2 linked regions of the Sus scrofa genome follow. The protein of the gene in region 2 interacts with the protein of the main gene of each other region in a biochemical or structural test. Links are inferred from orthologs where the notes say so. Each region holds a gene or a part of one and is shown on either strand. Other genes may lie near its edges.

What was found. The genes of interacting proteins can lie anywhere in the genome.
Region 1: the proteins of PCNA (region 2) and CHAF1A form a complex in vitro, tested with the Homo sapiens proteins (4 studies listed by BioGRID and IntAct). The link is inferred for Sus scrofa from reciprocal best matches to the Homo sapiens genes PCNA and CHAF1A.

Annotation. Positions count from the first base shown.
Region 1 is NC_010444.4:74,408,039-74,413,651, forward strand, and holds the start of CHAF1A (chromatin assembly factor 1 subunit A), read right to left. Parts: upstream 3,838-5,613; 5' UTR 3,622-3,837; coding exon 3,570-3,621; intron 332-3,569; coding exon 281-331; intron 1-280. UniProt on the Homo sapiens protein: Acts as a component of the histone chaperone complex chromatin assembly factor 1 (CAF-1), which assembles histone octamers onto DNA during replication and repair.
Region 2 is NC_010459.5:14,139,269-14,144,884, forward strand, and holds the start of PCNA (proliferating cell nuclear antigen), read right to left. Parts: upstream 3,317-5,616; 5' UTR 3,276-3,316; coding exon 3,055-3,275; intron 2,159-3,054; coding exon 2,061-2,158; intron 1,902-2,060; coding exon 1,834-1,901; intron 1,101-1,833; coding exon 906-1,100; intron 1-905. UniProt on the Homo sapiens protein: Auxiliary protein of DNA polymerase delta and epsilon, is involved in the control of eukaryotic DNA replication by increasing the polymerase's processibility during elongation of the leading strand.

The sequences.
Region 1 (5,613 bases), on a different chromosome or scaffold from region 2:
AAATAGCCTCCTCATGACAAAAAAATTACAAGACGTCAATAGTGCTTACTTTGAGAAACCCAATTATAAAGGATTTGCTCCAGGGAACAGAGGTGTAATGAAATGGGTTTCCTAGCTTCCAACTGTAAGATGCAACTGTTTTCTTCCTTCCAGCCCATTGATACTTCTGCTGAGAACCCCAAGAGAAGGCCTCTGCTCAAGGGGAATTAAAAATGCAATGGAGAAGACAATGAAGGATATAAACTAGGACCAAATATTTAACCCATCCCCAGAAAGTTACCTTGTATTAACTTCTTGACTGGAAAAGCTGGTCTGTCTTTGCAATCCATGGCTGTGAAATAAGTGGCAAAGAGTAATTTATTAGATATTGGAAATAATAAAGTAGCAAATACATATATAGTACCTGCTATGTAGAAAGTGGTTGTTCAGGGGGTTGATTTTGTTCTCCCCACTCCCAGGAACATTTGGCCATGTCTAAGGACATTTTTGGTTGTGATGACTGGAGAGATGGTGCTACTGGCATCTAGTGGGTAGGAGATAGGGATACTGCTAAATATTCTGCAATACACAGGATAGTCCCCCACGACAGAGAATTATCTGGCCCCAAATGTTAAGAGATTGAGAAATTCTGCCTTGGACAATGTGACATCTTCTTGTTTTATCTTCCTTGAGCAATTATCACTCTGAGACTTCTGTGTTTATGTCTTCCTGCGACAGAAGCCAGTTCTGTGACAGCAGAGAGACTGGTTCCAAACTGTATCTGTAGCACGGGCTTGGGTTTGGCACACAGTGAGAAATCAACAAACACAATAAAAAGGACAATGAAAAGAGGACTGAATAAAAGTAGAGATGAGAGAAAACACTGTATCATGGATTTTACCATTAATATGACCCCAAATCAAAACATCCCCCTCTAATCCCCACAAACAAATCTGTACAATTAGAATAAGGTTTATTTTCTTTTAAAACAGAGTTATGGAGTTCCCGTCATGGCGCAGTGGTTAACAAATCCGACTAGGAACCATGAGGTCGCGGGTTCGGTCCCTGCCCTTGCTCAGTGGGTTAACGATCCGGCGTTGCCGTGAGCTGTGGTGTAGGTCGCAGACGCGGCTCGGATCCTGCGTTGCTGTGGCTCTGGCGTAGGCCGGTGGCTACACCTCCGATTCGACCCCTAGCCTGGGAACCTCCATATGCCGCGGAAGCGGCCCAAAGAAATAGCAAAAAGACAAAAAAAAAAAAAAAAATAAAAAATAAAAATAAAACAGTTATAAAGGTAATATAACTAAAGCATTTCCAGAGCTTGCCAGACTGGAGCTAAAGTACTGTCAAGAAATGACAAGGAGGAGTTCCCGTTGTGGCTTAGAGGTAACAAACACAATTAGTATTCATGAGGATGCAGTAGGATCCCTGGCCTCACTCAGTGGGTTAAGGAACAAACGTTGCCGTGAGCTGTGGTGTAGGTCGTGTTGCAGACATGGCTCAGATCCTGCATTGCTGTGGCTGTGGTGTAGGCCAGCAGCTGGGAACTTCTCTATGCCACAGGTGTGGGTTAAGGACCCATGTTGTCTCTGTGAGGATGCAAGTTTGATCCCTGGGTCTCGCTCAGGGGGTTACAGAGCCAGATGCGGCTTGGATCCATGTTTCCGTGCTCATGGTGTAGGTCCCAGCCGCATCGCCAATTCAACCCCTGGCCCAGGAACTTCCATGTGTGGCAGGTGCGGCCGTAAAGAGAAGGAAAAAAAAAGGAAATGACAAGGGGAATGTTTTCCTGCACACACACACTTCGGAAAAAAAGTATCTAACAATATCAAAGCTGATGGGGAAATGCACATAATAGAGACAAATCTTTGGATAGGTATCTTGAAATGGCTAGAATAAATTTAGAAGCTGACAACTGCTAGATTTGGCTTAGAAAAGTCTAATTTAGTTATTCTGGCCAATATAAGTTAAAATATATATGTGTAGTGTGTGTGTATGTGTGTGTGTGTGTGTGTGTGTGTATGTGTGTATATATATATATATATATATATATATATATATATATATATGTATATGAGTACTTTTAAAAAGCAGATTGGGGCTTTCTAAAAACTCAACTGTCCGTTAGATGAAGCTGCCCTATCCCCTTTCCAAGCTTGGAATATAAGAAAGGTACCCAGAAGACTCACATATCCTCTCCACCCATTTCAAGATATCATTCTCAAGTTTTCAGTTACCAAAAACAAACAAACAAACAAAACCTTCCCACTGCTAGCTAAAGGATACATTAACTTAGCCACTTAAATTTAAATTTATTTTTAGTTTAACTGCAGGATTTATTGGCATGTCCCTGAGTCACCAGCTTTAATGCAAGTGCAGCAAAAGTGACCTGGGCCCAGAAGCAACCTCAGGTCGATGTAAAATGGATCTCATCTAGGGACGCGGCTTGTTCAAACATATACATAACAATTAACACATTTGTGTATATAAACTTACCACTGCTCTTTATTGAAATTATTTTCTTTCTAGTTTTATTTAGCATTAAGACATCTTTCTCTTTTATGGTATTATGATCATAACAGATGGTGCTTTTAAAATTTTCTAATTAACCATTTAATTGACCCTTACTCGGTCAAATGACTGTCCATGACAATCGGTCCCAACTTTATTTCATAAATTCTATGTCTATTTAAAATCCCAAAGTCTGGAAACAATTAGCACAGTGGTTCTCAATTAGGGGGCCCCTTGACAGTGCCTAGGATACATTATTGTCACAACTAGGAAGGAAGTGTTGCTACTGAGATCTAATGGGTGGAGACCAGGGATGCTGCTAGACACCCTACAATGCACAGGACGGCCCCAAATGTCAATAGTGCTGAGATTGAGAAACCCTGGACTAGTCTAGTTGAGGTCCCTGCCAACCCTTCATTCAAACAACCCACATTTATTGAGCAGCTACTACATGCCAAGCATTTTGCCAAGTGCTGGGGGTAAAAGGAGTCAAGTCGTCTGGTCTTCCGTGGTTCACCACCCCCCATCTTGAGGGCCTGCCAGAAAGCCCCCTCCCAAGACAGAGTAAGGAGAAAGACAGGTCGGCAGCATCAAGAACCCGGGACCCTTATCATCCGGGCCTCTTACCTGGGCTTGCCCTGACCCGCAGACGCAACTGTTCTGGTCCCCGAGCCCTTGTGACCCTGGACCTCCGTTTCTCCACCCAGTTTTGGGGCCGCTGCAGCGTCCAACTTATCAAGGGACACAAACGCACTCGGTAACTTCCAAAGCCGGCTTTTTCGCCTCTCTGGGCCTCCGTTTCCCCTCCTGGCCACACACACCCGTCACCGCAGAGCGCCCTGGAAGGGCGAACTGACGGCAAAAGCGCCGGGAGAAAATGGTCGCGGCTACAATAACGTCAAGAAGAGCGCCCTTTGAGTCCCAAGGCCCTTCCTTGGGACTGTAAGCTCCACGGACCGAACGCGAGGAGCCGAGGAGAGGGCCCGGGACTGGAGGCCCGTCCGCCCCCAACTGCCGCCTCGGCCCTCACAGGCCGCACGCCGCGCCCCCCCTTCCCCTCCGCGCGTGCCGGAACCGACCTGCAGCGGCTCCCCGGGCGCCTGGCGCCCCGCACTCCGGCTCCTCCAGCATTGTCCCGGCAGCGTCTCGAACTCCCCTCAGGCGGAGGAGGCGCGGGCTCCGCTGAGGCGGCCGCTGCTGCTCGCCCTCCCGCCCGCGCCGCTGCTACCGCGGCCGCCGCGCTCGTATTTGGCGGGAACCGCGGCGACCCCCGCGGCCGATGCGCCGATTGGGTGAGGCCGCATCACGTGACGCGCTTCCTCGGGAAGAGGGGTGCTCCGGGAGAATCCTCGCGAGAGCCGAGGCTTCCATTACTCCCAGGGCTCCCCTATTGATATTCCCGCTGAGGGCGGGGTGTCCCCCTCGGCAGCCTGTCATTGGCGGTGAACATGTGCCCTGTGATTGGGGGAGGGTGATATCAATCTGAGAATCGACACTGTTATTGGTTGATTGCTGGGGTATGTGGGTGGGGAGTGGGAGGAGGAAGGGCCAGGTTCCTACGTCGTGACAAAACGCTTTACACAGGGCACCAGAGACAGCCTGAAACTGCGATTTAGCTGAAGACTGAAGTTTTTTTAAGTCGTAATTGGATATAGGCTGCACACATAGCAACAGAAATTAAAATTATGAACTCTTTTAATACGAATAATAAAAATAGAATAAATAAACTCTAGGCATCGCTTCAGAAGCATTTGAGATGCAGTGAATATATTCAGAGGGAACGAATGAAATGAATGTTTCTGGTTTAATCCCTCAGGGTTTTGCATAGGCTGTTTCTTCGCCTGGAACACTCTTTCCTCAGCTCTTTTCCTGGTTGATTTTTACCTAACTTTCAGATCTTAGATCAAAACCCCAGAGAAGCCTTTTCTCCCCTACCCCAACAACATGAAGTTCCTACAACACAGTCATTTTTCTTGGAATAATTACACCTTGTGTTTATTTATTAGCGTGTTATTGGTTAATGAATTAATTCCTGTTTTTATCATTAGCTCCATGAAGGCAAAAATCATTTATCATGGTATCCTCAGGACCTATTGATGACTTACGCAGTAGTAGGTACCCAATATATATATATGAGTGAATACATTAAATACCATTTGATTAAACTGTGACCGGATAAATTAAAAGCCTCTCACAGAACAGAGACCTTCAGAATCAGTCTGTGAGCCTTAGAACAGGTTTTCTTCAGCATCTATTTATCGCTCAAGCAGAGCAGAAGTGAGAATAGTAAAATTTAGCCCAATTTTGGAATTCTATTTATCCTGTAAATTGGATAATTAAATCAGTATGATTGTTGTAAATCATGTGGAAAAATAGGAAATTCGAGGACATCGCTTTAGGCAAGTAAGTCGTGTCTTACTCAAGACCTCAGTTTCTCCCTCTGAACCATTAGGATGTTTTCCCTTCCTTCTCTAACATTCTGACATCTGAAATGATTGAGACTAGTGCATCACCCTTCAGGATGCCCATCAGAATCACATGGAAAAAATTTCAAACTATTAATAATAGCCTCATCAGGATCTTGGGGAAAGAGGTTGGAGCCTGCCTATTGCGAAGCAATCCTCTAATCTAGCCCAGGACCTACCATTGAGGCACTTGGAAACTTCTAGCAATCCTCTGCTTTACAAAAGCACTCAACTCTGTCAGAGATTTTGGAAATGAAATTGCAAGCACTTTAGCTCTGGTCATTTTATTATTCTTCTTTTTGGATTCATTTATTCACTTCAATTCACTATTAATTTCCACTTCATTCAATAAAATAACAGTTGGTTAAAAAAGTCAATATCAGTAAACATTTATCAATCTGAGAAGGCTTCCTGGAGGAGGTGCCATTGCAAAGAGTCCTCTTAGGCACAAGGAAAAGGGAAAAGATTGGGGAAGAATATGCAAGAGAGGAACAATGTTAGCAAAACACATGGATTATAGATGAAGACAGCTGAAATCAGAAAAGGTGATGGGGGAGTTCCCATCATGGCACAGCAGAAATGAATCCGACTAGGAACCGTGAGGTTGCAGGTTCAATCCCTGGCCTGGCTTGGTGGGTTAAGGATCCGGCTTTGCCAT
Region 2 (5,616 bases):
AAATACAGATTTTTTGTTTTGGGTTTTTTTTTGGTCTTTTTAGGGCTGCACCTGTGGCACATGGAAGTTCCCAGGCTAGGGGTCGAATCAGAGCTACAGCTGCCAGCCTATGCCACAGCAACTGGGGATCAAAGTTGTGTCTGTGACCTACACCACAGCTCATGGCAACGTTGAATCCTTAACCCACTGAGCAAGGCCAGGGATCGAACTTGCATCCTCATGAATACTAGTTGGGTTCATTAACCACTGAACCACAATGGAAACTCCCCAGTTTGTTTGTTTTAAATCAAATTTTCCACAATATTCGGATATATATAGCTTCCCAATCCTATTCTATGTTTGGGTTTGATACACAAACCCATTGTTCTATAGTTTATAAAGGTTGCACTGAATTTGCATTGCCTTCTCACAATTTAGATGGCATTTATAAACCACCTTAAGACATCAAGTCTTTCAAGTTCTCACAAATTAGTTACTTGGAAATGCAAATTTTGACTATTTTTCTTTAGAGTTTTCTTTAATTTTAGCAATTACCTTGCCACAGACGGTCATGTCCCATCCCATCCCCCCTTCCCCTGCCAAATTCACATTAAAACCAAATCCCCAATGTAATGAATGTAATGCTGTTTGAGGTGGGGCCTTTGGGAGATACTTAGGGTTAAGCAGGCAGAGCCTTCGTGAATATCCTTACAAATGACCACAAAGCTCTCTCTTGCCCCTTTTCACAGAAGGCTGCTATCTGTGAACCAAGAAGCGGTTCAGAAACCAAAATCTGCCAGTTTCCTAGTCTCCATAACTGTAAGAAATAAATTTTTGTTGTTTATAAGCCACTTAGTCTATGGAATCTTGTTACAGCAGCATAAAGTTACTTTTCAAAGTACTGTGTTTACTTAGAAATTACTTACTGCTTCCTCCTCTTTATCAACATTACTCGTTTGTGACAACTTAATATTTCCATTTCCGAGTTCTCCACTTGCAGAAAATTTCACTCCATCTTTTGCACAGGAAATTACAACAGCATCTCCAATGTGACTGAGATCTCGGCATATACGTGCAAATTCACCAGAAGGCATCTTTACTACACAGCTGTACTCTTGTTCCTATGAAACAAGGAAACTTAAGTTCAATGAATGGAAATGAAAGATTTGGCACCCTTACTGTCTGAAGACTCAGCATTTAAACAAGAGAATTTAAGGTTTTCTAATTATTTTGAAATATCACTTTGTGTAATTTCTTAACATACTCTAACCACTCAAAACGTAAACACAGTTATAGAACAAGAATGTTATAAAATAATCAAAGGAAACAAATAAGAACTTGAACTTTTATAGTAAATGCACTGTCCAGGGAACAAGAGCCTCCCCTTAAATGATCTACAGGGTTAAATCAAGAGAACATTAGGGTATAGCACACACACAATGACGGTGCTAACAGGCCGTCATTTTTTTGAAAAACAAAACAAGAAAATACAATTACTAGGCATATTAAACATCCAAACCCTCTTCTCTCATTTAATGTTGATAAACCAAAGCATAATGAATTTCTGCTAAAGTAGCTTTAAAATGTACTCAATAAAAAATTAAGCATTGTAGGAATAAAAAGAAGAGAGTCAATTAGGTTAATGCAAATATGCATGTGGCAGCAATCAATTCAAAACAATGAGCCATTGCAGAATACCATCATTTATATCAGTCTAAATACTCGGATTTGGAACATACATGAGCAGATATACAGAAAAAGCTCTTTTAGGAAGTAGGCTTTATTATATTAATATATTTTATGTAACTATCATGACTGTATGTAGTATGCTCAATCAGAAACTTTGATACTCACTGGAATTCCAAGTTGCTCAACATCTAAATCCATTAACTTCATTTCATAGTCTGAAACCTTTTCCTGATCTACCAAAAGAAAGCAAACGATGAAGAAAAACATGTAGGTTTATAATTGTGATAAATTTTACAATTACCACAAACTATCTTAAATTTCTCTCAGCTTTGGGAAATAAAGACACTGCATTCTAATCTCCTCTAGCATTAACTCAGAAGGGTGTAACTTACTTGGAGCTTCAAACACTAGTGCCAAGGTGTCTGCATTATCTTCTGCCCTTAGCGTAATGATGTCTTCATTGCCAGCACATTTTAGTATTTTGGACATGCTGGAACACAGGAGACAAGAGTTTAAAATCGACACCATCTTCTCAAGATCGTTAGCTTTCTAACTCAATTAAAACCATGAGTTACCACTTTTAACCACTGGACCACGTGTCGAATTGGCGAGTTTGGGAAACGTACTGCAGGAAGATGTAAGAGAGTCCAGCCGTTTTGGAATGCAATCTGCCAGTATTTATACTTATACGAAAAAGCCCACACCCCACAATGTGCAATTTCGCTTCGGGATATTAAAAAAAAGACCAGTATTTTAGAAAGTACAAATCCCTTTGGTGGGTGAAGTAAATTATTGGGCCGCGACGATCTTAGATTTTAATGTACCCACTGAAGCACCAGTCTATTATATTGAGTGTAGCACGGGTAAACACTTTTCACAAGCTTTAAAACTTAAACATGTGTATGTACTAGGAAAGGTAGTGATCAAAAAGTTTAAAACCACTGTCCTTCCTGGAGAAATTTTTCCTCAAATCCAGGATCTTAGGATGTTCACTGCAACTTTGCGGTAAAAAAGTAAGCTATTGTCCATATCACGGCGACAGAAGTAGGGCAAATTATAAAGCGGCTCATCTAAAGGCGCCTGCAATTAATAACCAAGGGCTCCGCAACAATCTTTTCCTGGCACCGCGAAGAAGCCCGTCGTTTTCCCGCCACCACTTGCTTTGTGACTTTGGCGCGGAAACAGCCGGTTCGCGCTGCAGTCAGCGCGGGCTTTCCGAACCGCGCGCTCTGCTACTGGTCCCGCCCCCCCGCCCCGCGCCACAGGCCAATAAGAAAGGTGCAGATATCCCACGCCAGCCAATAAGGGCCCGCCTTATGGGCGCTCCCGCCAAGAGCGGAGGTAGGGGTGTCCGCGGGCCCGACAGTCTGCGGCTTCGGGACTCACCTGGTGAGGTTCACGCCCATGGCCAAATTGCGGTCGCAGCGGTACGTGTCGAAGCCCTCGGAGCGCAGGGTGAGCTGCACCAAAGAGACATGAGACGAGTCCATGCTCTGCAGGTTCACGCCGCTGGAGCTGATGTCCCAGCAGGCCTCGTTGATGAGGTCTTTAAGCGCTTCCAGCACCTTCTTCAGGATAGAGCCCTGGACCAGGCGCGCCTCGAACATGGTGGTGGAATCACAACGACGCGGCTACAGGTGGAAGAAAGAAGGAAGGAGTAGCCGGCTTAGGCTTCAGAAGTTGAGAGAGAGCAGGAAAACACCACAACAGAGCCTGAACCGGAGGACGCACACTGCCAGCCGGCCGCGCCTGCAGCGGTTTAATACAGCCGCGTCTGCGAGCGCGCGCTACGCCCCCACGCCCTTCATGGCTACGTCACCACGCTGCCCCGCCCACTGCCTGGGCGGAGAGGCTGCGGAGCCAATCGTGTCCCTGCTCCACATGAAGCCCGTCCCACCCCGAACATCCATTGGAGAGTGTGGGCGTAGGGGCGGGGCAGGAATCTTGCGCCTAACGAGGGCCTGCTGATAGGCATCCTGCGGGGCTCCCCGCCTTTTTGTCGTGTTCCGGCGCCCGGACGTTAGACAAGTCGGGGCAAGTGTGAAGGTCAGGCCTAGGCTTGGGGGGGGGTCGTTGAGGTGGCTTTGTGGTGCCTCATCAATTTCCCGCTTGAGGGATGGGACATTTACAGCCTTGAAAGTGAAGGTGAAACGGAAATCCAGCCTTCTAGGAGGAAGAGCCACCATGCGCCTAAAGAGTATAGCTACTTTAAATATGCACTTTTTTCCCCCTGCTATTATAGAGTAGCAATTATAGAAGCGTTCCTAAAAGTGAACAATAAAGAGATGTACAGTTATGATTAAAAGAAAACAGTTATCGTGGCTCCCCACTGCCATCGCCTCCCCCACCACACACACACCAAACTATCGTTTACTGCATACAACTTTCTAAGCTTTTTTTTTTGTACAAATGTACTTTTAAAAACAAAATTCAGGAGTTCCCGTCGTGGCGCAGTGGTTAACGAATCCGACTAGGAACCATGAGGTTGCGGGTTCGAACCCTGGCCTTGCTCAGCGGGTTAAGGATCCGGCGTTGCTGTGAGCTGTGGTATAGGTTGCAGATGCGGCTGAGATTCTGAGTTGCTGTGGCTCTGGAGTAGTAGGCTGGTGGCTACAGCTCCGATTGGACCCCTAGCCTGGGAACCTCCATGTGCCGCGGGAGCTGCCCTAGAAAAGACAAAAATAAATAAATAATTAAATAAAAACAAAATTCAGGGAGTTCCCCTAGTAGCGCAGTGGAAACAATCCGATTAGGAACCCTGAGGTTGCGGCTCGATCCCTGGCCTTGCTCAGTGAGTTAAGGATCAGGCGTTGCCGTGAGCTGTGGTGTAGGTCACAGACGCGGCTTGGATCTGGAGTTGCTGTGGCATAGGCCAGCAGCTGTAGCTCGTATTCTACCCGCAGCCTGGGAACTTCCCTATGCCTCGGGCGCGGCCCTGAAAACAAAAAACAAAAAAACGGTTTATACTGTAAACACTTATGCAAAATACTTAACAAAGTATGTTTAATTTTATGCCACGTACTTCTTTTCTACATCATCATCTCTTTAAAAAAAGATTTACCAATTTCTTGTAATTCGGGCAAGTCTTTGAGGTAGTATTGCTGGATCAAAGAGCATATACATGAAAATTTTGATGAATGTGTTACTAAACTGACTTCTAAAAGATTTCAATTTATGTTATAGCCAGGACAATGAGCCTGCTCATCTCCCCTAATTTTTCTGTGGGTATTAGCAACCTCATTTTTAAAGAAATTGTGCTCATTTGTGTGAAAAAGTCAATATTTAATATGCAATTTGCACATTAAATGATTGGTACAGGTTAGATAGCTTTCATATATTTCTTTTTTTCTTTTTAGGGCCACACCTGTGGCATATGGAAGTTTCCATACTAGGGATTGAATAGGAGCTACAGCTGCTGACCTACACCACAGCCACAGCCATGCCAGATCTGAGATGCACCTGCAACCTATGCCACAGCTTGCACCAATGCAGGATCTTAACCCACTGAGACCAAGGACTGAACCCACATCCTCATGGATACTAGTCGGGTTCTTAACCCGCTGAAGCACAGTGGGAGCTCCTGTCACATATTTGACCATTACATGCTTATATTTTTCTATTAAACTGTCTTTTTCTTATTGATTAAAAGGAACACATCATGTATTAATCATTTCCCTATTGTAAATATCCCCCTTTGTTTCTTTTTTGCTCTTGTTTACAGCATTTCTCTTTAGTTGCTTCTAAAATTTTACATTGGTCTATAGAATTCTTTAGTTTTTCTACCATATATCTAGGTATGGATTTAGTTTTATTTATCCTGTTCAGGGAATTTTGTGTTCCTCAGTCAGAAGATTCATGCATATCATCATGTCTAGAATATTTTTAACCATTATGACTTTGAAAATTGCCTTTTTCTATTATCTCCCTCTAGCATTTCTATTAAATGGA